2 linked regions of the Nothobranchius furzeri genome follow. The protein of the gene in region 2 binds, or shares a complex with, the protein of the main gene of each other region. Links are inferred from orthologs where the notes say so. Each region holds a gene or a part of one and is shown on either strand. Other genes may lie near its edges. The genes, in order: atox1 and atp7a.

Region 1 (4,356 bases), about 28 Mb from region 2:
TTTAAGGGGTTCTCCTGGATGCTCATTAGTGGACTTCTTCACTCTGAAGCTGCAATGACTTTCTAAAAGAAAACAAAGTTATATAGATTTAGTCAAAACTGTCAGACATCCCACCTATGCACACATGTCAATCACAGCATGAATGCTCAAGTGGGGAAGTACCTAGACCAGGGCCATTCAATTCCGGGCCGCTAGGGCCGGTGTCCAGCACATTTTAGTTTTAACTCTGCTTCAACACACCTGATTTCAATCAGCAGGTGTAGGGATGACTACCTTTGACATTTGAATCAATCCGGTACTAATTCCCGGTACCTACGAATCGATACCGGTACTTAAAGGTACCAATTTTTGATACTTTTGAGTGTTTAATATTTTAATTCTCTTTTATAATTAAACATATATTTTTCCTCAATATATAACAGTATTTGATAATTATCACGATAAATAACATTCATCTGTTTGTATTTTAACATCGTCCTTGTAGTTTTATAAGCTGATAATTAAACTGAAGCAAACATCTTTACTGTGAACTAAATTTACTGTGTATCTTCATTCCTTTTACCATCCTTTTTCATTTGATTTTTCCTACTGGGAAGTTAGAATTTCCGAGGAGAAAGCGAATGCACCATTAGCTGATAACGGTGGCAATGGAAGCTAACATATCAAGCTAACGTTATCTTAAACAGTTTAACTGCTGAAGCAGATTTAAACGATGATGCCTCACACTTAGATCGTTGTCGCTGGTTTCATCTTCACCCAATCACCTGTCGCATTTAGTAAAGTGAAGCCAAACTTAAGAGCGTGTTCGTGTTCTTCTAGTCGGATATTCGGAGTTCCGAGGAGAAAGCGAACGCACCATTAGCGAAACGGAAGCTAACATATCAAGCTAACGTTATCTTAAACATTTTATTTACCTACCGGAGCAGATTAAGATGAGGATGTCTCACTTAGATCGTTGTCGCTGGTTTCATCATCACCCAGTTACCCATCACATTTAGTGAAGTGGACCCAAGCTTTAGCGTTCGTTCTTTCTACCATGCTGCTCTGTTTACAACTGGCTCGCAGGGACGACGACATAACGCTCTTGCGCATGCGCAGCTGTCTAGGCAAGTTCTCGTTATGAAGGACGGGTACCGAAACGAGGCACCATTTGAAATGACGTGAATTGGTGCTCGGTCGGTACTATGGAATTCGGTCGGTACCTTAAAAAGTACCGAATTCGGTACCCATCCCTAAGCAGGTGATTAAATGACTTCTGCAGAGCCTGATGAGCTGCTGCACAGGTGATTCAACCATTGAATCTAATGTGGAATTAAATAGCCCTGACAAAATGTCTTTTAGCTATGCGTTGTTGGATAAAGGAGTGCTGATGAGTGAGTGAAGATTCACTCTGTCAATCGGAATGGAATTTCATTCTGATCAGGCAGTATCGGATCAGAATATTCCAATTGATGTGTTTACATAAAGAAATTTTGACCTGATAGGGCATTCATTTTGATTACTTTTGTCCATGTAAACACAGCTACTGTTATCACCACTGTCTCACCTGCTGTACGTAAGGCAAATTCCTTCATTTAGTGCCATTGTACGTGAACGACTTTCCAGTTTTCCTCAGCGCATCTTCGAGAACTTTCACATCCTTGTCAGACTCAATCCAAACCAGATTATTTGGCTGGTCAATCTCAAACTTTGTATCTAGGGGAGACAGAAAGAGCGCAATTGTCAGAATATTGAATTAAAAAAAACATGCCTCACGTTGAAAACCTGCAGTAGTAGTCAGTAGTTTATCTAAAATAAAGCTAACAATCTTAGCATTAAATAACCTCCATAGCAGTCAAGAGCTGAAAAGAGGTTTAGTTAATTTTGTTACATCAAAGCTCCAGTGTAACTGGATTGAAACTCAACATTTTACAGAGTAAAAGAATGGTAAAACTATCACATGACATCACATGATTTACCTGCTGACTCAAAGCTCAGAGCCAGCAGGTCATTAGATGGATGTGATAGAAACTAATTTTAGACATTTTAGTCAAATGCCACTTGAATAGGAAGATGTGTGGGATAAATTTAAGCCTCCACAATGGATTTTGTCCAACAAGATGAATATTAGAAAAATATTTTTGATCAGCTATAAACATAGCTTGAAAAAACTTATTTTAAATTATTTTGGATAATTATATAGAATATAGAATATAAATAATGCATACAGTCAGCATAAACATGACCCATGTAAAAAATTAAAGTGATGTTGCTGAAACAGAGAATTTCTACATTTTAAAGTGTTGTTCTCTCAAGACTGCTCCAAAGACAGATATAAAGTGACACATTTAATCCTAATATAAAAAAAATCTGCTTGATATAAAATCGTTAACACTCCATTCTTTACAAAGACGAAATTATATATTTTAGCTGAGAGAAAAGCAGTTTCAGACTGACAGCCAGTAAAACAAACAAAACAGGCAAGTGAAGCGAACAACTGCAGGAGACTGGAAGAGGAGTTTTACCTTCCAGTTTACCGAGGGCCTTGGCGACAGTCGCTGAACATTTCTCACACTCCATTTCCACCTTAAACTCGTGTTTCTGTGAGGCAGGCAGAAGCAATGTAAATAAATCTAAACTTTTAGTGAGAATTAGTACATTTGTCTATTAGTTGTTATTTAAATTTTCATCCTAGATACCATGGTTTTTGTATAACATTACTTCTTAATCAATAGTTAAACCGAGGTGTTTTTAAAGAGGTCTGTGAGCAATAAATGAGTTAGCTAGGTGACATTTGAAGGTTTACTTTGCAAGCTACTGCCAGTCAATGCTGTTGCTACATACTTAGGAGCAACGTCTATGCTAACAAAAAATAAAGAAGTCATTAGAAAACTCACGGTCATGTTTTCTGTAGCGTGTACCTCCTAGCGATCGGACAAACTGTAAACCTGCGATTGAAAAGATCGCAAGCGTCGCAGAATCACCCGAGAAATGCTTTCAACTAGCTAAACTGGTTACTGTAAAGTTAGCTTTAGCCACAACAGTAGCTCAACTTCCGGTCGAATAAAACAAAAGCACGTCCCCTGTCTCGTGACCACCCGGTGGACTAACCAAACCAAGCGCTTTCGTTCCGAGCTGGTGTCGCTTTTTTATTTTCAAAATAAAAGCCTATTTTAACAAACATACTTTAGAAAGAAGACCCGATTGTTTAAATATACTTGCAGTTAGATGTTACCAAAATTCACTTAATGACGTTAAACGTGATTTTTTTCGCTGACAAGAAGCTATTATATCTTTATTATTTCAAGGTTTTAATATATCTCTATGGCAACAGAACGTGGAACATCCTGGTCGGTCGGGTCATGTGACCACACCACTGGCTCCTCTGAAGGGAAATTCTATTAGCTGAGCCGAGTCTGCTTTGCTCCCAATCTGTGCCGCGTCGCCGGCAGCTACGCTGTGTTGCCTTTTTAACTGACTGCGATACGAAAATAAAAGGTTTGCGGTCAGGCCACTGAGATAAAGCCAACGTTGGAGGAGAGGACACACACGGTTGTCGCAGAGGTAGGCTGGTGCTGTTTGTGATGGGCCGAGCTGCTGTTTACGAACACATAGATGACATCGGAACCTTCAGCTAACATCAGCTAGCTTATTTAATGGCACGACCAAGGCAGCTCTTAACTTTACCAGCTTCCATTAGCATTGTGTTGAAGTGTTAGTATTTTCAGTGTTTTTCGGTTTCATTTAGAACACCGGTCTCGTGTCTGCTTTGACAGCTCACGCGTCTCCCGGCCAAAGATAACACACCATTGATGCGATTACCGCGTTAATCTGGTCGGTCTGCGGGATGTCTGTTTGCTCTCATGAAAGGACAACACTTCTCATTTAAAATGTCTAAAAACAAACTGGTTCAGTGGGGAGTGCTTTGGCTACACCCTGATCTTACAGTTTAGTTGCTTTTCACTTGCCAACATTTTCATATTGACATTTTATTTGCCCTGAATGCTAATAACTACTAGCATCCTCAGAGGCAACAACTGGATCCGCAGAGGAACTTGGCCCCCATCTGTTTTGCAGAATTTTTTAATTTCAGCCACGTTGGGTGGTTTTCTGGCATGACCACCTTGTTTCAGGTCAAAGGTCAGATTTTCATGTAAAGCAGCCCCAGACTACCACACTACCACCACTGTGTTTAACTGTTGTGCTGTTTCTTTTCTGAATACCAGTGTTAGGTTTACTATTTAATCATGACAACAAGAAAATAATTCTGAAAGTGGGCATTTTACAGCACTCAACATACAACATAAGTAATGAATGCAGACAATCTACATTCAGCTTCTCAGGTTTGATCAATTAATTGATTTTAATTTAAATGGT
Region 2 (3,820 bases):
AAAAACAAAAACAGAAGCTCACTGTCGTATCTCGTTGCTGTGGTCCAGGTGGCTGGCAGTACGGTCTCTCTTCACTAAAGATGCCTCAAATCCTAGTTTCTACAAACAACAAACAGCTGATCAGTTGAATGATCTCTGAATACACAGCACCTTTTCTCAAATCCATCACTCACTCAGGTTAAAACTGTAGGAACAGAAAAGCTATGAAGTCTCAAACGTACCTGAATTAGCTTTATGATGTCTCGTGGCCCTATAATTTCGGAGTCGTACTTGACATGTGCTTTGTTGGTTGCCAGGGCAACAGAGGCATATATAATCCCCTTTTCTCTCATGAGGCTGGATTCAATTTTATGAACACAAGAGGCACACGTCATCCCCCTGACCTGAAACGAGGTGAGGAGGAAGAGACGAGTATGACATGAGACACAAGCACATCTCTCTCCAGCTGTTTTAATCTGTAACACGAACATTTATTAATGGATTCTATTTTGTGGAAATAAATAACACAGCAGCCCTTTAACTCACCACAAGCTCTAGGTTTCTGTCGGAGCCTTCGTAGTCCTCCATCACAGAGGCGGTGAAGCCCAGCTCTCTTATGCACTCTGCTATCTTCAGCGGGTCGGTTACATCCGGGTTAAAGCGGACCTCTGCTTTACTAGCCATCAGTGCAACGAGAACCGAGTAAATACCTGAACAAAGGGAGAGTTTCAGTGTGATGTTCAATAACAGTGGAAAGATACTTGGTTTAAAGAAGTTAATTATCAGTTATTTGGTTAAAGAGCAAGTCACCTCCTACAAGAAACTTACTTCGCTCCCTCTTGTTTGAAAAATGCAACAAATGCTGTTGCCTGGCAGACCGAGAGGGCAGAGCTGCTAACAAATACACACACACAGGCTCACAACGGCATTGTGACATCATAATGTACCAGTTTACATCATAGCATACCTCTTAGCCAATAGCGGTGGCAGATTTAAACTCAAGTACAGTGCAGAGTTTTAACCTGACGACGGCACAACACTGCCACTTTTAGGCAGAATATTTACATTTTAACTAAGATGCACTGAAGTACCAAATTATTGACGACACGAGTCTGCAGTACGATTAGACACACATTTATTTAGTTTATCAGGGGAAAAAAGTTGATTTGGGGGTGACTTGCTCTTTAATTATGCAACCTGCTGGGTTTTCAAACTTTTAACTAGTGGCCATAATGACTTGAACTCGGTGCGCTGATAAGTAGGTTCAGCTGGAATGTTTACTTTGTAAAGCGCCTTGAGCTGACTCTTGTTGTGATTTGGTGCTATATAAATAAACTGAACAGAAATGCACACACCAGGCTCATTCTTGACGTTTCGCTCGATGTTTGACACACAAGACGCACACGTCATGCCTCCGACCTGGATGAAGCACTTGGAGGGCGTGTCTCCGGTGTGTCCCTTTGGCGTTTCGCTGTGACGGTCACCGTCAAACTCACTCCCCAGAACAGGCAATGCACTTGAAGATTTGGAACAGACAGCATCGGGCGCAGGCAGCAGAGAATTGGTCTCTGTTTTAAAGAAACATTTAAATAGTTAATAGCAGGAAGTCGTGACTTTCCCCTCTTGACTTAGCAGTCCTATCATCCACTTGTAAGAACAGTTATTTAAGAGGAGCCTGGGTGCAATAAAACTTTCAAATATCAGCGAGTACTCCATTATGAGTTCATTTACAACTGCACCAGCTACACTCTTACCAGGCAGAGTTGCATCAAAGTCGATGTCCTGTATGGCCGCTCTCAGCTCCTCCGGTGTGGTCAGGAGAGGATCATATTCAAAGGTGCCCTGATGATCAACCAGAGAGACCTTAGCAGACATCACCCCCTTTCTTTGGGCGATCACACTTTCGATGGACTGCACACAGGAGTTACACGTCATGCCTTCGATGTGAATAACGACTACGGATGCCAGCGGCTGGCTAAAGCAAGGCTGTAAGGCTTGTGTTGCTCGTGCAGGCTGTGATGCTGATGAAGCAGGAGGAAGTGATGTCAATGCAGCACTGAGAGCACATCTGTCCTCCCAGAGCTCAGTCTTAAACTGTCCTGGAGGCAGTGCTTCTATGGCACTCTGCAGCTGGGTCACTTTGATCTTTAGAGGATCGTAGCAGATGGTGGCCTTCTCTTTCTCCAGAGACACCTCCACAGAAGAGACGCCAGGCACCACTGAGATGTTGTCTTGAATATTGGCCACGCAAGAACGGCAGTGCATGCCTTTTACCCTGAGCAGCACGCGTGCTGTGTCTATAAATATTTCTGTCTCCGACGGTGATGACTTTTTCGGGCTTTGTGAATTGACAAAACGTTCAATTTCTTGAGGGGAGAGTAGCAGAGGGTGGGACTTGGATTTAACAGTGGCCTTGAAGCCAGCCACAGCTATCTGGTCGAGGATGGTTTGAATAGCAATGAGGTAAGGCATGTAGACGACCGTGGCTTCCTGAGACTCTAAAGCAACTGTGCAGAGAAATGACAAAGTTAGCACACAAAAACAAACAACAACACACTTAAATACTGTGTTTGTAACGTGTTATACTTTCCAATTCAAGTTTGCTCAAGTTATACATGTCAAATAATTAAAAAATCTACATTCTATATTACAGCATTAAGGGGTTGGATTGGGGAGTTAACCACCAAATATTTCCTCGAGTGCAGCCAGTGCTGCAGCTCACCCCTCTGGGATGGGTCAAATGCGGAGATGTAATTTCACCAGTGTGTGATGATGACTAATGACCCCACTTCCCCATCCTGTTTATTTCTGTGGCTAATAATGGCAATGGAGGTTGAAGGTGTTTTTTCATGTTCAGCATAAATATGCAACTCAGATTGACCAATCATATTTCAAAACGACCAAGTATAACACGGTTTCTCGGTCAACAAGAGCCTTTACACCATAATGGGCACAATGAGAGAATCCCAGGAGGGCACAACTGCTGACAGAACAAAGTGAGCAAAAACAAACAAAAACAACCTACGTTCCTCCTAAAAGCCAAAAACTCTGCTGACTGGTATAGAAGTTACAGAATTATCTTGGTTGTCTTAAAGTTTGAACAACAAACTGTTAATGCTGCCATCCTCTTAGTCCAGGCCAGTTTCAATAGTTAAGTTTTTCAACTAACTGAACCACAATTCAATAAAATGCCTGTTCAGTCATAGAAAATCAACTAATTATTAAGTATTAAGTTATTTCTGACCTCTGTAGGGTTTATCCAAATCTGCATATGGAATTATATCCTTTCTATTTGAATGCAAAGGCTTTCCACTGATGGTTGGTCGCTGTCAGTTTAAAGGTATAAAATGAGTTTACAACACACTCGATACACGCACTTCAAACACAATGGCGTGTACGTGCTCAGCAGACATTATCCTCTCGGTCTACATATACCTCCCTCCAACCATACTGGTGAAAGGATTCCATGAGTCACAGACAAATCCTACAAAGCAGCTCTCCGAGGACACAATGACATGACACCAATGATCTATGAGATGTGCAATGCAGCAGTTGTGTTCTAATATCTCTTGTAGCTCTGACGGTCAAGTACATCACCTTTAATCTTTTCAATCCCTTTCAGTTTTCCAATCTTCCCTTCGATGGTGGTGGTGCAACTGTGACAGGTCATTCCATTGATGCATAACTTGAGAATTGCTGCTCTGTTCACAGCAGTGTCTGATGGGGACGATTTAAGGCCTACTTGTGCGGGACTGCCAGGAGTTTGGATCTCCAGGGGCGATGCACCAGGCACTGCCCCCCTCAGCTGCTGTACAGAAGTCAGGGAAGGAACAAAAGTGAC

Evidence for each region.
Region 1: the proteins of atp7a (region 2) and atox1 are in contact, whole or in part, in an NMR structure (PDB 2K1R), measured with the Homo sapiens proteins. The link is inferred for Nothobranchius furzeri from reciprocal best matches to the Homo sapiens genes ATP7A and ATOX1. Residues at the interface, in NP_000043.4 of Homo sapiens: Cys19, Asn20, Ser21, Cys22, Trp24, Thr25, Gln29, Asp67, Asp68, Met69, Gly70, Phe71, Asp72; in NP_004036.1 of Homo sapiens: Thr11, Cys12, Gly13, Gly14, Cys15, Ala18, Arg21, Val22, Lys25, Lys57, Thr58, Gly59, Lys60.

The regions. Positions count from the first base shown.
Region 1 is NC_091741.1:69,332,812-69,337,167, forward strand, and holds the start of atox1 (copper transport protein ATOX1), read right to left. Parts: upstream 3,088-4,356; 5' UTR 2,883-3,087; coding exon 2,877-2,882; intron 2,581-2,876; coding exon 2,505-2,580; intron 1,696-2,504; coding exon 1,571-1,695; 3' UTR 1,547-1,570; intron 63-1,546; 3' UTR 1-62. UniProt on the Homo sapiens protein: Binds and deliver cytosolic copper to the copper ATPase proteins. May be important in cellular antioxidant defense.
Region 2 is NC_091741.1:97,524,245-97,528,064, forward strand, and holds part of atp7a (copper-transporting ATPase 1), read right to left. Parts: coding exon 3,577-3,820; intron 2,487-3,576; coding exon 1,734-2,486; intron 1,548-1,733; coding exon 1,335-1,547; intron 690-1,334; coding exon 526-689; intron 384-525; coding exon 222-383; intron 100-221; coding exon 23-99; intron 1-22. UniProt on the Homo sapiens protein: ATP-driven copper (Cu(+)) ion pump that plays an important role in intracellular copper ion homeostasis.